Linked DNA regions of Saccharomyces cerevisiae S288C. The gene in region 3 interacts genetically with the main gene of each other region. Each region holds a gene or a part of one and is shown on either strand. Other genes may lie near its edges.

Region 1 (9,784 bases), on a different chromosome or scaffold from region 3:
TTTTTTGACTGTACTTGTTCTGAATGATGAAATAACGGTATTTGATCATTGCAACCGTTTGAAAAGCCAGAAAGTAGTTTTCCATAGACTTTCTGACTTAGCGTCCATTTTCCTATATGAATACGAAAGCACGGTCTACATTTTCATGTCTGACACCGAAGGAAACCTTTGCGTTATGAAATTGGCAACTTTTGAGATCGTAGAAGAGGTTAAAATTTGCAAGAAGAAGTTACAGTTCTGTGAAGTCCCTAACTCAGATTATTTTTTTATATATACAGCCGATACTATAATTTTTTTCAAGCCAAGTAAAATAAAAGGTAGATTTAAAATCCAAGAAGTATATGCACCATGTCCTATAAGCTGTTTGATACCTGGAGAAAAAGATGGCTCAGTTGTTATGGTTACTTCTCAAGGTCAATTTTACGACGTACTTGTTCCTGGTGATGCCGGAAGGGCTACTCTTTGTTCTAAGTTTGAAAAAGTTTTAAAAACATGTCTCAAATTTATAACTTTGGAATCTTCATCAAGATATGTGATTGTAGCGGCCCTGCCAGTAGCAAATCCATTGCAGGACAAGTATTCCGAAATTTATGTGTATGATATTAAACAGTTCAAAAACATTTCCGCATTCAATTTTTCTAACCTCAACAATGATATCGAGAGTATAAAATATGAAAACGCTATGATATCAGATATTATTGCCGTACCCATGCTCAAAAGAACCGAAACATTAGGAAAAAGAAAGACTTCTGAGCTGTATAAGGAAGTGATTTTCAATTCATGTATCTTGGTGTCTCTAAATTTAGACTCAATAGACGGTATTGATAGTAAAAATATGAATAACCTATTATTGTTTTCATTTGATGAGGAATCGGGTTTTATTGAATTTGTTTTTGGGATTAACACGGGGTTCTCAATCAGTGGGTTACATAACTATTACAATGGATGTGTTTTGGTTTATGGGGAGTTTGTGCAAGCTTATCAACTGAACTATTCAGTTCATGATAACAAGTTCAGTATTGAACAGGTTTCAAATAGGTTGAATATTTCTGGTATTACAATAACATCATCTATATTTTTTGATAAAAGGAAGGCAAAGATGGCTAGGAAGCAGCAAAATATAGGTACATGGGTTTATTTGGAAGAAATGATTTTACTTGATGTACGGAAAGGTGTGATGAGGTTCAATGTCATCCATACAACAGACGGTAACATAGAAAAGGTTCAATTGCAGGTACAGCCTCTGAATTTATTTGAGAGGGACCTCATCAATAGCATTACCGACACCGGGAAAATGTTTACCGGTGCAGCCGCTATAACTTTCAAGAATATTAGGTATCTACTAATTTCGTACGGTGATCAAAAGCTCACGTTATTTAGTTTAAAACTTGATGGTGAGGAAGAAATAGACGAAAGAGTGTACCATGTTGCTGAGCAAGTTACAACCATCAACTCTGTAAGAACTACTGATTCCAGAATGAGCACGTTTTTAGGCGAATCTACATTTATGCCCTTATTCTTAGTAAGTACCTTGTCTAACGGTTGTTATGTGATCGGAATCCTGCATGAAGAGTCAGATATCTCATTACATATCTTATCAGAAAAGAAAGCTGTCTTCGCAAAGCGGTCGGTTCAAAAGTTCCTGGGCTTCCTCGATCCTCAAATGGATGATCACACTGTAATATCTGAAATTTAGTGTCTACGTTATGATATATACACTTACAAATTTACTTTCCTTTTTTAGTATAGTTTTCAAGTAAAATTCTTGAAGCGGTGTTGTTTTTGTTTGTTCTTCGTTTAGCAAAAGTCATTGTTAAATACACGCTATAATATGGCCATGACCGTAGGACCGAATGCTGTCCGAAAAATGATACTTATCACACATTTCAAATAAGATCGGTTTTGTAGTTCAAAGATTTCTTAAGAGCCTTTTACGTGTTTCTTAAGAAACACTTCACATTGGCTATCATTATTAGTAAATAGATTTATATGATTTTCACTTATTAAGGACAGAAATGTCGCGATTTCGAACCCATAAAAAAAGGAAAAGCACCGCCTGTTCTCCAGTCTTCATAAAAGCACACCGTATAGAAAGGGCGGTGAATGTTGATCTTGCATACTATAAAATTATTTGACACTAATGCCAACAACTTATGTGCCAATAAATCAACCAATTGGGGATGGTGAAGATGTCATTGACACCAATCGATTCACCAATATTCCAGAAACGCAAAATTTTGACCAATTTGTTACAATTGATAAGATTGCTGAGGAAAATAGACCACTGTCTGTAGACTCGGACAGGGAGTTCCTTAATTCAAAATATCGACATTACCGAGAGGTTATATGGGACCGTGCAAAAACATTTATCACATTAAGCTCTACGGCCATAGTTATTGGATGTATTGCTGGTTTCCTACAAGTCTTCACGGAAACTCTGGTTAACTGGAAAACAGGTCATTGTCAGAGGAACTGGCTACTTAATAAATCCTTCTGTTGTAACGGCGTGGTTAATGAGGTTACCTCTACAAGCAATTTACTACTGAAAAGACAAGAGTTTGAATGCGAGGCACAAGGGCTTTGGATTGCCTGGAAGGGACATGTGTCCCCTTTTATAATTTTCATGCTTTTGTCAGTCTTATTTGCTCTAATTAGTACACTGTTAGTCAAATATGTTGCTCCTATGGCTACTGGTTCAGGAATCTCAGAGATTAAGGTATGGGTATCAGGTTTTGAATACAATAAGGAATTTTTGGGTTTCTTAACATTAGTCATTAAAAGTGTTGCCCTTCCTTTGGCTATTTCTTCGGGATTAAGCGTAGGTAAAGAAGGGCCCTCAGTTCATTATGCAACCTGTTGTGGGTACTTACTCACAAAATGGCTACTAAGAGATACTTTGACGTATTCATCGCAATATGAGTATATCACAGCAGCTAGTGGAGCAGGTGTTGCGGTTGCTTTTGGTGCTCCTATTGGTGGTGTCCTTTTTGGTTTGGAAGAGATTGCTTCTGCGAATAGGTTTAACTCCTCTACCTTATGGAAATCCTATTATGTCGCCCTAGTCGCAATAACTACTTTGAAGTACATTGATCCATTTAGGAATGGCAGAGTTATTTTATTCAATGTAACATATGATAGAGACTGGAAGGTACAAGAGATTCCGATCTTTATAGCCTTAGGAATCTTTGGTGGTTTATATGGAAAATATATTAGTAAGTGGAACATCAACTTTATTCACTTTCGCAAAATGTACCTGTCCTCATGGCCAGTTCAAGAAGTGCTTTTTTTGGCGACGCTTACTGCTTTGATTTCTTACTTCAATGAGTTCTTGAAATTAGACATGACAGAAAGTATGGGTATATTGTTTCATGAATGTGTCAAGAACGATAACACCTCAACTTTTAGTCATAGGTTATGTCAGTTGGATGAAAATACGCACGCTTTTGAGTTCTTAAAAATTTTTACTTCCCTATGCTTTGCCACTGTTATCAGGGCCTTGTTGGTGGTGGTATCATATGGCGCCAGAGTTCCTGCCGGAATCTTTGTTCCTTCAATGGCGGTTGGGGCCACATTTGGACGGGCAGTAAGTCTACTGGTAGAGAGATTTATAAGTGGCCCTTCTGTTATTACTCCTGGTGCCTACGCCTTCCTGGGAGCAGCCGCTACCTTGAGCGGGATAACTAACTTGACTTTAACTGTGGTGGTAATAATGTTCGAGCTAACAGGCGCCTTCATGTATATCATACCCCTTATGATTGTAGTGGCAATAACAAGGATAATTTTAAGCACGTCTGGTATTTCTGGCGGTATTGCTGATCAAATGATCATGGTTAATGGATTCCCATATTTGGAAGACGAGCAAGACGAGGAAGAGGAGGAAACCTTAGAAAAATACACTGCAGAGCAGCTCATGTCCTCCAAATTAATTACTATTAATGAAACCATTTACCTTTCCGAGCTTGAATCTTTGTTGTACGACTCAGCGTCTGAATATTCTGTGCATGGTTTTCCAATAACTAAGGATGAGGATAAGTTTGAGAAGGAAAAAAGATGTATTGGCTATGTTTTAAAAAGGCACTTAGCCAGTAAAATCATGATGCAAAGCGTAAATAGCACCAAAGCTCAAACGACACTGGTATACTTCAATAAGTCTAACGAAGAGTTGGGACATCGTGAAAACTGCATCGGATTTAAGGATATTATGAATGAATCTCCAATCTCGGTGAAGAAGGCGGTGCCAGTAACATTGTTATTCCGTATGTTTAAAGAGCTAGGTTGTAAGACTATCATCGTAGAGGAAAGTGGAATTTTAAAGGGGTTGGTCACTGCTAAAGATATTTTGAGGTTCAAAAGAATTAAGTATCGAGAAGTTCACGGTGCGAAATTTACATATAATGAAGCACTTGATAGAAGATGTTGGTCAGTTATCCATTTCATAATCAAAAGGTTTACCACTAATCGAAATGGTAACGTTATATGATTAGACATTTATGTAATTTTTAAGGCGCTAGTATAGATTATTCAAAATTATATGATACAGACTTTTATCAATTTTTACTTGTTTAAGCTCCGTCACCCTGTTATTAAACGTGAGCAGAGAAATGCCTTTTGAAAACACACTAAAACACATAAGTTAATCTTCGCGCCATTTACCAACCTTTTTGTATTGGAGGTAAAGTGCTTTGAAATATTGTTTCCCAGGTGTGTCAAGGAAAGCGTTCAATTGATTCAACTCGTTCTGAGATAATATATCAAAAATCGCATGAATACCGGGCTGCAGACTCTTTTTTATGTTTAAACTGAACTGCGTCGTAATAGACAACTGTATATATTTCGTTAGAACCACAAGTACATTTTTTCTGATGGACTGCTTTATCAAACTTATCTTTGAGCTTAAGTTATTTTTCTGCCCATTTTGAGCGTTTGATACATTATAAGGCTCGCAGTAGTTCGTTATTAGTCTGGCTACGGCGTCTGCTGAATTTGCACACAATGTACCATCATGAATTGCTATTATTTCTAGTATCTGGCAAAGAACGGAGTTAAACAAATGGTGACGATTGGAAAATTTAAACCTGTGAACTAATAGCATATGATCTATCACTTCGATGATGTTAATAAAGCCTTCATTGATTTCATCCGTTGACTCATGGTTTACTATAAAAGCGAGAGTTTTTAAACAGAAAGGAAGCAGCATTTCAATACAGTATTGGCTGAATAGCCATGGTTTCGATACTAAGAACTCCTTGATAGCATTGAACAGTAGCAAGTATGACTTGTAGCCAAATTTTTCTATATCACAATAGGTGTAGGCTTCAAGTAAAGCTATCACAAATAGGTGATGACCAAGGTTATTGTCTCTTGCAATCCTTTTTGACATTATGATAAAAACTCTCACAAATTTTTCAGCACAAGGTTGGCTAATGGTGGAAAACGATTTAGCACTGTTCCAGAGCAGGCGGTTAAACGCATCAGGACCTTGTTTAAGACTTTCTTCCAAGCAGAACCCCAAGGCAGAATCGCACTTATCTGTATGCTCAATATTTAAGTACTCTGCAAAAATATACTCCAACTTGTTTTCTGTAAGGAGTGAATGAACCAAAAACATTTCCTGTTCTTCTGGCGCATGGTACACTTTTTTAGAATGATATCGAAGCATAATTTTGGAAAATATATCCAGAATTCTCGATTTATGCTTAGAAATATCGCCTTGTCCGGTCGTTATAATCTTGTACAATGTAGACATTGATATTCTGAAAAGGGGAATTGTTTCAGATTCAAAATTTTCAGAGTAGTTTTCCAAAATTTTAACAGCATAGCTAATTGCCATACCTTGTATATCTCTATGCTTGTTATCTGGTTTCAAAAATTTTGCGATAGTAAACCCGGCGATAATTAGTTTGCTATCACCATTGGACAATGACATTGACTGTTTAACGATATCGTAACCAGATTCTAAGAACTTCTCACTCACAGGCTCCTTTGCCTGTGACAGATGATTAGTCCAAACTTTTTCGAAAATAGATATTTTGTCTTCTATTTCCTTTTTTTCATCACCTGTCTCTGAAATGGCCATTTCGGGGCTCATTATTGTTTTCTCACATAATTCGTAGAAATTTGTTTCAATGTTGCTCTTGAAGGTCGGGCTTGACAATAAATGAAGGAGGCATTCTCTAGTAGCGGAATCAAGGCAAAATGATTCGCATGTTAGATTGTTAATGAGAGCCACTCTAACGTTTTTGTTGATGCATTGGATAGGAATTTGAATCAAAGCTTCTAGAGCGAAGGTTTGATGGTATGATGAAGCAAGCTTGTTTATTAAAGCGTACGTGATATTTGTCTCCTCAAAAATGTCATCATTTTTTAATAACGAAGATAAATTTGTCGAGTTCAATAGTAATGAATCAATTAAAGAAGAAATTTGTTCTCTTGTAAAGTTGTTGTTTACTAATGTTGCAAATTTGGACACAACAGAGTATGATAAGTTTGACTTTCTTTCTTCGTCAAGGATTTCAAAGTGCCTCATGAATTTTTTTTTTGCATCAGAAAGATCGAACGAAATATATTCTCTCAATTTGAAGCAATAAAAGAACAGTTCTTCAACATCAGCCGATGTAGTATCAAAAATATTAGAAGATAACACGTAATCGATTTTTTCTAGTTCCTCTGCAGGGACAATATCATCGTAGACTTCCATTATATGATACTTTAGGTCCCATTGAAGACTGTTATTAAATGATTCCAAAGTAAATACTTGAGATAAAATAGGCTTTACCTCATCGAGAGTTGCGCGCGATGCGCCCTCTGATAGTCCCTCCAAGCATATGCGTATTAAATATAAAGGAACCCTGTTGGTGGAATCGTGATTGACTTGGTCAAGTAAAGCTTGCAATAGATTTTTCCATTGTAAAGAAGATAAAGTGAACAATTGCTTCGTTATAGACTTGACATATGCAGGATGATTTATCAAAAAATAGGAATCGGGTCCTTTTCTGGAACAGTACTCATTTATTTTGGCAAAAAAATCTGATAATTCCCTTGCGTTAGCGTGTGATTGGATTATTAAATCCCAAATATGAGAGGAAAAGAGAGGATCGTTCAAATTTTCGAGCTGAATCAATTCAAGTAACCGAAAAATATGTTTAATAGCAACCTCGATATCCAATTTAAGGATAATTGGTATTAATGATAACACTCCAGATTCATCAGTCGACGCTAACATTTCAAGCAATAATGCTTCAAGGAACTCTTGAGATACGGTTTTCTTCGATTCCGATAAAAGATTCAGAAATCTGCATTCTAAACTAGGTTTCTTGGCACCTAAAATTGTAAAGATGACTTCTAGTTGAGCAAAATTGTCTTTTGATAAGAAAGTGACGAAAGTGGCAAAATAATAATAAGCCATATCGTCGGTAATTTCGGACGCATTCTCTTGGACAAACTTTTTATTTAATTTCATGTAATCTATGCGTGGTTGTAAAAGGAACTTTCCCATAAAATGAGATAGACGAATGAAGGATTGGTTTGAAGATGCAGAATTTTTGGTCTGTGCGAAATATCTTAAACTTGGTAGTAGCATATGCTTGCAGTAACAAGTAGCAATTTTGTTATCCGTTGTAGTAATATTGTCAACATGAGTTAGATTGCAGGCATCTTGCAAGTATGAAAGCGCAAAGTCAGTCGTCGGGCACGAACTTAATCCATTTATGGCATGTTCTAAAAGTTGAAAAGACTCTTCAACAGAAAAATTGACAATCAAGTAGTCATTAATCGCAAAAAATGCTTTTATAAACGAAACGCTACGTGTAAGTAATTTGTCTTTAGGCCAAAGGAAAAATGTTCTTATCATTACAGGCACAGTCTTCAATTTTTTGAGTAGTTTTTTTATCGAAATTGGATCATTAATAGCATCTAATAATCTCGTGAAAATTATCCAAGTATGTTCACTGGTCTTAAAATCATCCAAATTTCCATTGTTGAGCCTATCAATGAGTAAATCTAAGACGAAAATTTCTTTTTTTGGAAAGTAGGTTTCTAATTTATCAAATTTTGAAACTATCTCGGCAATTTGATGGGGTTTTGTGCTCGTCGAACGTAGTAATTTCGACAAATCTTGGGCATTGTCTGGGATAGATAGTTCTTCTGTAAGATCACCCATATTATCAAAAAGTGCAGTATACTCTCTGTTTTTCCAAAGATAATTGATGGCAAGCTAAATCTTAGACAGAGATGTTCCTATGCTAGTAAACAATTCTGTAGTTGTGACCAAGTGCCCTCTTAGCGATCATTTTGAGATGAGCTAAGTGAAATTTTTCAGATCGCGCACGACGGAGAGGTTTTTTAGTTGGATGGAAGTCAAGCCTTGTACAAATTGTAGTTGTATAGAAAACATTGAACTTACGGTCTTGAGTTGAGTCAATAAGCGTGAGCCAGAACGCAATTATCAGATATGACAATCGATGATTCAAATCGATTACTTATGGACGTCGATCAATTTGATTTTTTGGACGACGGAACGGCGCAACTTAGTAATAACAAGACCGATGAAGAAGAACAACTATATAAAAGGGACCCAGTCAGCGGGGCTATCCTGGTCCCTATGACTGTAAATGATCAACCGATTGAAAAAAATGGCGACAAGATGCCTTTAAAGTTCAAGCTGGGGCCACTTTCTTACCAAAATATGGCATTCATAACTGCAAAAGATAAATATAAGCTTTATCCTGTTAGAATTCCTAGATTAGATACCAGCAAAGAGTTTTCTGCATACGTATCAGGTTTATTTGAAATTTACCGTGATTTAGGTGATGACAGAGTGTTTAATGTACCAACGATTGGAGTTGTTAATTCTAATTTCGCGAAGGAGCATAATGCAACAGTAAATCTGGCCATGGAGGCGATTCTGAATGAATTGGAAGTGTTTATTGGTAGAGTCAAGGATCAGGATGGAAGAGTGAACCGATTTTATGAGTTGGAAGAATCTTTAACCGTTTTAAACTGTCTGAGGACAATGTACTTCATATTAGATGGTCAGGATGTAGAGGAGAACAGATCAGAGTTTATTGAGTCATTGCTAAACTGGATTAATAGATCAGACGGTGAACCAGATGAAGAATATATTGAACAAGTGTTTTCAGTGAAGGATTCTACAGCAGGTAAAAAAGTGTTCGAAACACAATATTTCTGGAAGCTTTTGAATCAGCTTGTTTTAAGAGGCCTGCTCTCCCAAGCTATAGGTTGCATTGAAAGATCAGATCTTTTACCATATTTGAGTGATACATGTGCCGTTTCATTTGATGCAGTAAGTGACTCCATCGAACTCCTGAAACAATATCCAAAAGATTCGTCCAGTACATTTAGAGAATGGAAAAATTTGGTGCTAAAATTAAGTCAAGCCTTTGGTAGTTCTGCTACTGATATTTCCGGTGAATTACGGGATTACATTGAAGATTTCTTGTTAGTAATTGGTGGAAATCAACGAAAAATTCTGCAGTATTCAAGGACGTGGTATGAGTCCTTTTGTGGGTTTTTATTATACTATATCCCCTCATTAGAACTATCAGCAGAATATTTACAAATGTCACTGGAAGCTAACGTCGTAGACATAACAAATGATTGGGAACAACCATGCGTCGACATCATTAGTGGTAAGATACACTCAATTTTACCGGTAATGGAATCTTTAGATAGTTGCACAGCAGCATTTACCGCTATGATTTGTGAAGCAAAAGGTTTGATAGAGAATATTTTTGAGGGTGAAAAAAATAGCGATGATTATAGTAAT
Region 2 (5,407 bases), on a different chromosome or scaffold from region 3:
GGGCGCCAGCGTCATCACAACTTATGCAGATGTGACCATAACCCTGGGGCTCTGAGTTACCGTTATGATAGTGGAAGTTTGGATCATTCTCAGTTCCCCAATTATGAGTTAACTCCAACACACTTTCACATGAAAAAACGCTGTCGGTCTTTGGAACGCCATAACCAAGAAAGTATAACGTAAATTTTGCACTTTCGTGCTCACTAGTTCTTAATAATTTCATGCCCAACACATTCTGGTAGAATTCTAAAGACCGGGTTGGGTTTTTAATACGAATCATGGTATGATTGAACTTGTTACCTACTGAGCCCTTTGGGTATTCCTGACCCTCTCTAGAATATGTGATCAACTCAATCCAGTATCCATCAGGGCCTAAAGCAAACGCAATGTCCTTCTGTCTTCCTTCAGAGAGTCTCTTCTTGAATTTGACACCCTGAGATTCTAGCTCTTCGCAGGTTTTATTGATATCGGATACAGAAAAACAGATGTGCCCAAATCCACGATGAGGTTCCTCATTCCCGTTGTTGATCTTGTAGTCTGGGTTTTTTTCAGTACCCCAATTGTGAGTTAGTTCTAAGACACCGTGTGCGCTAAAAACATCAGGCTCTCCATTCTTATTTTTGGGTATGTCGTCTTTTGGAAAGCTTAAAAAGTACAAGCTAAATTTTGCTTCTTCAAAATCCTTTCTGCTTAATAGCTTCATACCGAAGTGTTCGGTGTAGAACTTAACGGTCCTTGCTGGATCCTTGACTCTTAAACATGTGTGATTAAGCAGAAGGGTTGGATCATTCGAGGCTTTCTCAATCTGAATTGGATAGCGTGTACTATCAGTGGACATTGTTAGTTTGTAGCTGGTGGCGTATCTGGTCTGAAGTGTCAAAAAAAAGGCATGGAAATGTTATTCCGATTTTTTTTCTCCCTATTTATAAACGTCACTAACTAGAAATACGGGATATCAACTACTACGAGAGAGGGACATTCTAGTATCAAAGAAACTTACTATGACGCAGTTTAGGATCCCTGTGGTGACTACGTATCCAGGTCTACTACTCCATCGTAAAGCCCCTTGTTTATTCAGTGTCCAGATCATATGCGGGATGTGTATTTTGTGCTGAGTGGAAAAATAAGATCATATGCTCAAGAATAAAGGGTTAAAGGGTATGGAAATTTCAGTTCTCCCTGGCTCAAGAACATTGTCAGTATTCCTATAACTGAAGCTGAGTGGTACTAATGCACCGAGATGCAAAGTCCGAACCACCCCCACCCCCCTCTTTACCTATTTTTTATATTTTGTGATAAAGGGATAACTCGTCTTGCCTTCACTGCGCTTCGATTCTACTTTAGCTAAACTAAGCGTTACTTTGTTTGAGAATCTCTCAGCCGTTAAATCAACGTACTTGTATACTAAACAGTATATTCACGTGATAACTTTGCCTTACACCTATGATATAGATAAATATATACATATATATGAGTGTGTGTGCATTGCGTCACTAAACTATGTTTAATATGACAGAAGGTTTTCGTTTAATTTTGCCGCTACCCGAAAATTTTGGCAGTTGCAATTTATAACTAAAGGAACCACCTTATTGTAAATTCCTCAACGGAAAAGCTATGGCTTAGCTAGGGTTGACAATGTCAGTTTACCATTTACCAACGCTGTTGAACCCGCTGGTTAATGCTATATTTAACTGTCCCGAACCAGAAAGATCCCCATTGAAAAAGCTTTTCGCTAATTTAAAAACCCGTAGGTTTATCCTCCTAGCACCTCCTTCAGAATACCTTTTGAATTACCACGATGTCAAGAGCAAACTGCCGTTACATGACCTCTGTTATAATGCAGAGTTTATTAACTCTTACATATTGTTAATGACTGAAAACTCTTACATAAATACGAATTCAAGGGACAGTCATTATGAAACGTTAGATGGTAAGACCGTTGTTATTCAATGGAAGAATAATGTGATCCATGCCTTAAATGGATTTCATATAAGGCGAAGACTAAAGATTCTAGAGACAAAAATATTACCCAATTTTAATGACTACTTTGAAGGGGCGGCTGATTTTATCATACTATTCATAGATCAACCTTTAAATTGCGAATTTGTACCTAACGACTACTTACAGTGTTTTCACAATTATGAGAAAATACCAAAAAATGCACATGCTATGCCAAATCTGTCGATAGATTCTTTTCAGCAAGAAAGATCGTCATTCGAGAATATATTGCACATTCATCCTGCTCGATTAACACAGCTTGGCCAATTGTTTTCGAGTTACAGAACGCTCGCTCCTGGTGATGATCCATCTAGAAGTATTTTTGAAAGCATCGTGCAACAAGCATTTGATGGAATGAAATCGGATTCACTTTTCAAGAACTTTTCTAATCTTTACGATCTTATACACGACTATTTTGAACTAAATCTTTACGATGATATATGGTCTAGGCTTACTACACATTTCAAAGGCCACGAAGTAGACACTGAAAAAATAAATATTTTTCAGTGAACCAGTTGTTGACAGATTTTTACTCAAAAGATTATGGGGAATTTAAATTACACGACATCACTCTTATTGAAAGGCGTCTCCATCTAGCGTCCAAACATCTTCAAAAGTTGGCTTTGACCCATTCATACGCTGAAAAATCTAAAATATTAGTTGAAACTCTACAGAAATTATCAGGTACTACCGAAATGGATTCACATCAACTAGAACTACCAGACGGATTGAATAACATGACGATGGATGCAGACACTTTAATTAGCCTTTTTGTGCTCGTTGTTTGCAGAAGTGAACAAAAGCACCTTAAAAGTCATCTTTACTATTTGCAAAATTTTTCGAATAACTCTTCTTCTACAAAATTCGGCATTCTAGGGTATGCTGTATCCACACTGGAAGCAGTGGTTTGTTATTTCGAAGACTTCAACAAAAATACAGGCAACGTGGCGAAAGCTAACACATTATGTGAAAAAACTAAGAATTTATTAGATAAGTTGTCATGTGAAAACCCCACAAATGAAGTAGAAGATCTGGCAACATACAAGGATATTTTGACCTACAGAAATGAGCAAGGACAATCCATTCTATCCATATGTATAACAAATCATAAAAACTACATCTTATTAGATATTCTTTCTGAATATGAAAACGACTTTCCAGTAGAAGACCTTTTAGAGGACGAAACGATTGATGGTTCTACGCTGCTTATAGAATCGATAAAAGCAGGAAATTTAGAAGCCGCGAAAGTTCTCATAAAGATCATGCTGTTCAATTGTACTGAAGAGGAGCTGGTTTCTTATATCAATAAAACAGATAAATATGCACGTACCGTGGCTCATTATCTAACCCATGAAATGGATATACTTAAAAGCATCGGAAATTATATTGATTGGAAACGAAAAAATTCCAGTGGACAAACGCCTTTATTTTCCATCTTTAGAAGTTATGATCAACCAAATTATGAAGAAATGGTGAAGACCGCATTTGATATCGCAAATACTTGGTATAGAAAGCACAACAGTTTGTTTGACTATCTAGACCACACCGATAATAAGGGCAATAGCTTGTTGCATGTTTTGAAAACAAACATTCCAATCCTTTTACAACTGACTAAGCTAGATATTAATGAGGAAAATTATAAGGGATTGACGCCATTAATGGTATATGTGAAGTACAAAAGACTAAGTAATATTGACGCCATCACGAAAGACCGTCGACTTATATTAGAGAAGGTTCAAAACTCGACCTTCTTCACTTGTTTTGATTATGCAAAAGATCACTCGGTACTAAGCAAGATAGGAGAAAGGGGTGTCAAAGATTCACTTTTTGGATTAATATATTTTCATTCTTTGCGATATCATAATTTAAATGCGACAACAAATATAACATCCGTTTCAAATGCAGAGAAACCTTTCGCCACTACTGTTATTAACATGAAAACAATTCAAGGCTTACTACGCTCAATTCTGAAAGACAATCCGTTCACCTTTTTGCCATTAAATACCTATATCGATGAAATATCGCACTTAAACCGTTCTGATTTAACAATAATCGGGAAAACAGATGTCACATCGTTACTTCACCAATTAACTAACTGCTTCAACGTTCTTTTATTCCTGAAAAAAATTCCAGAAAATTTGTTCACTGATGAGGCTTCTATCTTATATTGGATGCGCATAAACACTTCTAAAAGAAACCAGAAACCCTCAGGAAAAGAAAATCCAAAAACAATGGAACCCGAGGAGATTAATATGATACAAAGCTTTTTACGTTTTAATTTTGATGAGATTTCATCATTTAAGGCAAGCTTGAATATTTTGAGGAAAGTCTTAATATTTATTAATTTGAAATCCGATGATTTCGAGGATGCTTATAAGGGTCTTAACGAAATGGGTAGAAAATTAATTAATAGTGAAGCATCCAGCGCATTTAAGGGGATTATAACAAATCATAATATGTTCAGTGAATTATCGCTAGCAGCACTACTAGAAAACGTGCGTTTCTTGGAACAATGTACTATCCAACTATCTAGTTTCGTTCAGATAATTTTATTTGAAAAAATTCCGAACTGGTGGAAACATTATGGTGAGTTTTTAGCTTTACATAAAAGCTATCGGAAGGCTTTTCCTAACATGGTTAAGCCAAAAAGTGCATCAGATACCTCTAGTCGTGCTCCACTTGGTGGTTTTATTGAAACGAAGCGTGAACAATCGGAGCAAAGACTAGCGGTTCAGATAAAGGCCTCTTCAAAAATGCTCAAAGAACTTGGAAGCGAAATTTTTGTAGCTCACGAAAGGTTGGCCGAGGAACTAAGCAATTATATGGAGTTCAGGAAGGCGTGCTTAGATCAGCGTAGTCTTGTGGCATTTGCCACAACCAACATTAGCGTTCTTCAAGAATGTGTTTAAGATTGACTGAGCATTGCAATATTTTACCTTCTTCTCACTTGTTCTATAGAATTTTTTACCCAAAAATAAGAGATAAAGAGTTTGAAAGAAACATCATTACATATATATATATATACGGGCAGCTCCGTAACTCGAAAAGAGTGACAGCTGTTTTACTCTGTAATAGCTGACGATTCTTCAGTGATTGGAATAACCTCAGAACTCACCGGTACGGGTAACGTTTGTATCTCGCGGATTAACTTTTCGCATTTCGACCTACTGAGAGAAGAAGTTCCTTTTGTTAATCTGTACCTTTATCTTGAAAGCAGTCGTTACAGAGGAACAGCATTGGGAATCACCAACAAAATAAGAGGAATAAGCTCATCCAGTCCACTTCTTATCCATATAGAAACCCCTTCTGTATCAATTCAAATTAAGTGATGTCTTCTAGAAAAAAAAATATTTTGAAAGTAATCATCCTAGGTGACTCTGGTGTTGGGAAGACCTCCTTGATGCACCGT
Region 3 (7,082 bases):
AAGAAAGCAAAGACAAAAGGCAATAAAGGAGCAAGAAACTATGAATTTACAATTGGGAATCAATGGCCATGAGATCATCGGTAACAATAACAGCCATAGCGACATAAATACCGGTACCGATTTTACAACCAATGAAAATACCCCTATGAATGAACTTCCCTCTCACGCACCTGAAGATGCGTCATTAATACCTCATAATTCTGATCTTGCCGTGGACAGCAATACAAGGAAAAATTCAACAAAAAGTGTTGGTTTAGATGAAATTCATGAGATTTTGGGCAAAGATGAAAATGACTTACTGTCTGTAGGTGATATTAACGGTTATGATGCACAAGAAGGTCATGTGATCGAAGATACTGACGCCGATATCCTAGCATCGTTAACCGCTCCTGTGCAATTCGACAATACATTAAGCCATGAAAATAGTAATTCCATGTGGAGAAGAAGGCAAAGTATGGTGGAAGCAGCGGCTGAAAATCTTCGTTTCACTAAAAATGGTTTATTTAGTGAGAGTGCATTGGCAGATATCGAAGGAATTATGGGCAATGATGTTAACCATTCATTCGAATTCAATGACGTCTTACAATGAGCTATTTTGCATTTTTTTATGGTTACTACAATCAAATCACCTTTCGTTTACAATATCATCATCAGTATGTGACTTTGCCTTATTCTACTCTGAATTTTGCTTTATCGTTGGTTGAAAAGAATTACATGTTATTTTTTTACTTATATATGCATATTTTTATAGAAAAACACAATCAATATTTTTTTTACTGGTATAATCCGTCCAATCAGACGTATAAAAGTAAATAAGCCTCAAGCAACCCCATTTGATGGATTGCCTTACTCTTCGACTCTAGTTGAGATGATAACCTCATCCACTCTTCTGGCGATTAAGATGGAGCTTCTTAATATATCCGTGTAAAGCGACTGAAAATTTTCTGAAAAATTCAGCTCATCGCTCTCAGATATAATAGCGGTATGGCATTAAAGGTGTGAACCAACAACATAGTACTCTCAACGGTAGTAAGCCATACTACGTACAATATGGATCTGAAAACCTCATATAAAGGTATATCGTTAAACCCTATTTATGCAGGAAGCAGTGCTGTTGCCACTGTTTCAGAAAATGGTAAAATACTAGCTACTCCGGTGCTTGACGAAATCAACATAATCGATTTAACCCCAGGCTCCAGAAAAATTTTGCACAAGATTTCTAATGAAGACGAGCAAGAAATTACTGCACTGAAATTAACTCCTGATGGTCAATATCTCACGTATGTTTCACAAGCTCAGCTTTTAAAAATCTTTCACCTTAAGACCGGGAAAGTTGTCAGATCAATGAAAATCTCTTCTCCATCGTACATTCTCGACGCAGATTCCACTTCAACGCTTCTCGCAGTCGGAGGGACAGATGGTAGTATAATTGTTGTGGATATTGAAAATGGTTACATTACTCATTCGTTCAAAGGTCATGGTGGTACAATTTCCAGTTTGAAGTTTTATGGACAATTGAATAGTAAAATATGGTTATTAGCATCCGGTGACACCAATGGTATGGTAAAGGTTTGGGATCTTGTTAAAAGGAAGTGCTTGCACACATTACAAGAGCACACATCTGCTGTGAGAGGGTTGGATATCATTGAGGTACCAGATAATGATGAGCCAAGCCTAAATTTACTTTCCGGTGGTAGAGACGATATCATCAATCTCTGGGATTTCAATATGAAAAAGAAATGTAAATTGTTGAAAACACTTCCAGTAAATCAACAGGTAGAGTCATGCGGATTCCTAAAGGATGGTGACGGTAAACGCATAATTTATACAGCCGGCGGTGATGCTATCTTTCAGTTAATTGACTCTGAATCTGGTAGCGTGCTTAAAAGAACCAATAAACCTATAGAAGAGTTATTCATTATTGGTGTACTTCCAATATTGAGCAATTCACAGATGTTTTTAGTATTGTCTGACCAGACATTACAACTAATTAACGTTGAAGAAGACTTAAAGAATGATGAAGACACAATACAGGTCACTTCGAGCATTGCTGGTAATCATGGTATTATTGCTGACATGAGGTATGTTGGCCCAGAGCTGAATAAATTAGCTTTAGCTACCAATTCTCCATCGCTTAGGATAATACCCGTCCCCGATTTATCAGGCCCAGAAGCTTCGCTGCCTTTGGATGTCGAAATTTATGAAGGTCATGAAGATTTGCTAAATTCATTGGATGCTACTGAGGATGGCCTGTGGATCGCAACCGCCTCTAAAGATAATACGGCTATTGTTTGGAGATACAATGAGAACAGCTGCAAGTTTGATATTTATGCCAAGTATATTGGTCATTCAGCTGCCGTAACTGCTGTTGGATTGCCAAATATAGTTTCAAAGGGATATCCTGAATTTTTATTGACAGCATCGAATGATTTAACAATTAAGAAATGGATAATTCCAAAGCCAACTGCTAGTATGGATGTTCAAATCATCAAGGTATCCGAATATACTCGTCATGCCCATGAAAAGGATATCAATGCTTTGTCAGTTTCTCCTAACGATTCTATTTTTGCAACAGCATCATACGACAAGACCTGTAAGATCTGGAACCTAGAAAATGGTGAATTGGAAGCCACGTTGGCCAACCACAAGCGTGGACTATGGGATGTATCATTTTGCCAATATGATAAATTATTGGCAACTTCTTCAGGTGATAAAACAGTCAAGATATGGTCATTGGATACATTCAGCGTTATGAAAACATTGGAAGGTCATACCAATGCGGTTCAAAGATGTTCGTTTATTAATAAGCAAAAACAACTGATCAGTTGTGGTGCTGATGGCTTGATCAAAATATGGGATTGTTCTAGCGGTGAATGTCTGAAGACTTTGGATGGTCATAATAATAGATTATGGGCTTTAAGTACTATGAATGATGGTGATATGATCGTAAGTGCTGATGCAGATGGTGTTTTTCAGTTTTGGAAAGATTGTACGGAACAAGAAATAGAAGAAGAACAAGAAAAAGCTAAATTACAAGTCGAACAAGAACAATCGCTTCAAAATTATATGAGCAAAGGTGATTGGACAAATGCATTTTTGTTAGCAATGACTTTAGATCACCCAATGAGGTTGTTTAATGTTTTGAAAAGAGCTTTGGGCGAATCAAGGTCTAGACAAGATACCGAAGAGGGCAAAATTGAAGTCATTTTCAATGAAGAATTGGACCAAGCCATCTCTATCCTAAATGATGAACAGTTAATTTTGTTAATGAAACGATGCAGAGATTGGAATACAAATGCAAAAACACATACCATAGCGCAAAGAACAATAAGATGTATTTTGATGCATCATAACATAGCAAAATTGAGTGAGATACCCGGAATGGTAAAGATAGTTGATGCAATAATTCCATACACGCAAAGGCATTTCACAAGGGTTGATAACTTAGTTGAACAAAGTTACATATTAGACTACGCGCTAGTGGAAATGGATAAGCTATTCTAGGCAGTAAGTCCAAGATATTGAGCCTTTAAAAGCAAGGCAATAGCAACATATTATTTTGTAAACTAGATATATAAAGACAAAATGCATTGATGAAGCGGAAAGCTTAAAATAATTCGATATATAATTAGGTGCCTTTACGGGCATTGAAAACTTCTTTGCGCGAAGAGCTCATCACTAAAAATTTGCAAAAAACGAAGAGCGAAAACTTTCATATATTGTAGTAATATATACAAGAATTTAAACTGCCCACTTGAAATAGCACGGAAAGAACTAGCCATAATATATTATACAGGATGTCGGCAGGTGATATATCAGCCATAAATATCAAGTCTGTCAAAAAAAACAGAAGGAGGAAGAAGAGAAGAACAGCTGATGTTTCATCATCAGATTCTTCATCATCGGATCCATCATCAGAAAGTGAAAAGGAGGAAATCCAAAATGGGGCCATCGAAGAACACGTTGGAGAAAATGGTAAAAGTGATCATGTTTTCTCAAAAGGTAATGACGAAGACAAACAAGAGGACATTGCAATAGAAGTTTCGGATGTCGAGCTTACAGACGAAGAAAGCAAGGATTTGAAGTTAAATTCAAAAGAAGTGATAGACGATTTAACCAAAATTTCTTTGAGCAAGATCCCAGAGCCTACGAAATCTCAAAACAAGGAGGGTTTTATGAATGCATCGAAAATTGCCGAAAATATCAAGCTTGCGAGAGAAGAATACAATGAATTGGCAGAAAACTTTGTGCCCAAAGGGAAAGACAAGACAAAGTTAAGGGAAGAATACTTAAATTTACTTTTTGAAAACTACGGTGATGATATCAATCGTCTTAGAGCTGCCCCGGATTTCACGAATAAATCACTATCCATTTTGGCAGATGCTCTGCAGGAAGGCATAGGAATGTTTGATATTGGTGAACTAGAATTGGTCTTGAAAAATAAAGAAATGGAGAACTGAAAAATATTGCTTTAAATCTTTTTCTAAAAGTTTGTCATGTTTCCGCGGAGAATATATTGACGTGCACATTAATTATTTAGATAATTCTTCGATTTTTAATGAAGAGCGGTCCTGATCCAAGTTGTGCTTCATATGGTATAAAGCTGATTCCAGTATACTGCACGAGAAGTATATGTATGTATTTTGTAATTTATATAAAGGCAAAAAAAAGAAAAACACTTGGGCATAATGGAGGAGAAGATCTTATGACCTGATAGTCAAAGAGAAAAAGAAAAAAGCAGAAGGAGCAAAGAAAGGCGGCGACCAAATGACGAATTAGATCCAATGAAAAACGATTCAATGCGAATAAAGGTTATCATGGATCACCTGATGGGCCTCTTGGCAATAGAAAAAGAAACTAGTTTGAAATTCATTAATATAAATAAATTTAAAGAGGAGAATATAGAAACAAATTAAAACGTAAAAGAAATGTATGTCGAGAAAATCCAGCCCAGTTCCAAGTATATAGCAAAGCTTCTCAATCCCAAATTTCTTTACAATAAATATGTATAGTGTTGTTACTTTACACTTAACCCAGTAACTTAACAAAGAACCAAGCCGCACCTGCTGCTACACCACCCACAACAACCATTTCAACACCTTCCGTAACTTTCTTTGAAGTCGAACTGCCACTACCCATGGATAGTTTTGTCTTTACGTAACCAAACCAGAATAATGTTACAACCATGACTATTATAGAATAAATGAGACCTGTGCCCACATCTGAGACAAAAAAATATGGCACTAGTGGTACTAGCCCACCAAGTAGATAACCGCCACCGATAGTGACTGCACTGATTAGTTCTCTATTCTCGGCAGGTTCGTCTAGACCCCTACCGTACCTGATAATGAAGTCAACCATTAGCTCAGGTGTTCTTTGTAAATCTTTGATGAACGAAACGATTGTTTCGTCCGAGAAATTAGGGTTAATCTCTAACAGAATGTCTTCAATTTCTCTGTTAATTAGGTTGGAGTTATCGTAAAATTTCCTTTTCTCCTTCTTTACTTCAGCATGATAATAATCAGATTCACTCTTCGCTCCCAAATAGCCACCAAGGCCCATAGAAATCGCACCTGAGATCAACTCAGCAAAGCCACCGGTAATGACCAATTTCGCATCACCAAGTGAAGATAGACCAGCTGTTAGAGCAAAGGGGACGGTTAAACCGTCGCTTAGCCCGATAATCAAATCGCTAATTACGCGAGGATCTACTGATTGGAAGAACCCTAGGTTCGCCTTTTCGTTATCCGAACCGTTATCGCCATTCCTATTATCTTTCCCTACTGACATCGGTGAGTTTTCTAGATCCTGCGCTGAATTTCTACCATAGATAATATCCGAGCTAGATGAGGATAAGTTATCATGCCTTGAACTATTGCTATTACTACCCCTCAACAAGGGAGTTGATTCAGACCCCCCCAACTCTGAGGTTCCACCACTACCTTTCGCTTTCTGTATAAGGGTCACCACTGCGTTCTTTAGTGCTACAATGGACATAATATTTGTGTGCACGAGATATGGGAGGACAAAAAAAAAGTTTCTTTGTTCAATATACCAATAAAAAAAAAGAGTCTAAAGGCTTCGTTCTGTTATATTTCTATTCTATAAACCTAAAAAAAGCAAAAATTGAGAGTGATGTCGCTTTAACTTGATTATTTGAACTATTTTGTTTTGTATCAATTTTTCATATATAATCTTAATTTTACATCTTCATTGTGAGACATTCGGGCTAACAAAGAAAACAAAAAATGCGGGTCACGAAAGGGGTACCGAGCCAATGAGAAGAGGGTATGTTAGTAATATTAGTGAGAAATGCGGCGCGATTGGTCCAGACCGAAAAAAATCAATATTATTAAACTGTAAAAGTTATATTAAAAATTAAGTTACATTAGTAATTGAAGTTCACAAGAAGAAAAAGAAGAGAATAAATCTAAAACCAGGCTTCAAAAATTAGGGTTGATTGCAAAATTCGAGTAAACAACTGCTAACGGCTGCTTTTTTTCTTGAACAGTTTAGTGAAGAAACTGGACTTCTTGTGCTTCGTGGGAGGATCTTGTGTTTGAGCCTGTATTGTCTTAGTGGCATGTGTCGAAGTGACCATTGTTGGCTCAGCGGCAGATAATTCATTCGTCGATGATGTTGTTGGATCCGTGGCGTCTTCCTGACGCTGAGGGGTTTGGTCCTGTAAAAGCGAAGAAGAAGACTTTAGATTATCCTGCAGTTCCGGTGATCTTGTTCTCGTTGTTGAAGCTACTGCGGAGGTAGGTACATTGCCCTGACTTTGCCCATTCGAGGACGCAGTAGTCGAGTCTATTTGTTGTTGAAGGGGTGAAGGTGAATCTGTAACTACTGGATTCGTCATCACACCTTCGTTTGAAGATGGCTTTGCGGTTGTCACACCTTCCGAAATAGACGCTGCTGGGAAGCTTTCTTCAGCATTACGAGTAACTGGAGTTTGTTCGCCTTGTTCCTTCTTGTGCTGGTAGCCGTAGTTTTCTTGAGAGAATTGCAGCACTTTATCGAACATGGTTTTGAACTTATTTTTGGAAGAACCAGTTGTTTTTGTCTTCTGCAATGGAATG

Evidence for each region.
Region 1: mutations in RSA3 (region 3) and URB2 are lethal when combined (synthetic lethality), as found in Saccharomyces cerevisiae (2 studies listed by BioGRID, with this or other methods).
Region 2: mutations in RSA3 (region 3) and VRL1 together harm fitness more than expected from each alone (negative genetic interaction), as found in Saccharomyces cerevisiae (2 studies listed by BioGRID).

Annotation. Positions count from the first base shown.
Region 1 is NC_001142.9:505,606-515,389, forward strand, and holds URB2 (ribosome biogenesis protein URB2), read right to left. Parts: upstream 8,159-9,784; coding exon 4,634-8,158; downstream 1-4,633. Other genes in the region: MLO127 (Mlo127p), read left to right, coding at 1-1,696; GEF1 (Gef1p), read left to right, coding at 2,141-4,480; NUP85 (Nup85p), read left to right, coding at 8,450-9,784.
Region 2 is NC_001145.3:261,848-267,254, forward strand, and holds VRL1 (Vrl1p), read left to right. Parts: upstream 1-2,693; coding exon 2,694-4,907; downstream 4,908-5,407. Other genes in the region: lactoylglutathione lyase GLO1, read right to left, coding at 1-838; YML003W (uncharacterized protein), read left to right, coding at 1,636-2,508; Rab family GTPase YPT7, read left to right, coding at 5,327-5,407.
Region 3 is NC_001144.5:575,740-582,821, reverse strand, and holds RSA3 (Rsa3p), read left to right. Parts: upstream 1-3,797; coding exon 3,798-4,460; downstream 4,461-7,082. Other genes in the region: IFH1 (Ifh1p), read left to right, coding at 1-589; U3 snoRNA-associated protein UTP13, read left to right, coding at 1,051-3,504; CCC1 (Ccc1p), read right to left, coding at 5,029-5,997; MSC3 (Msc3p), read right to left, coding at 6,485-7,082. UniProt on the Saccharomyces cerevisiae protein: Required for efficient biogenesis of the 60S ribosomal subunit.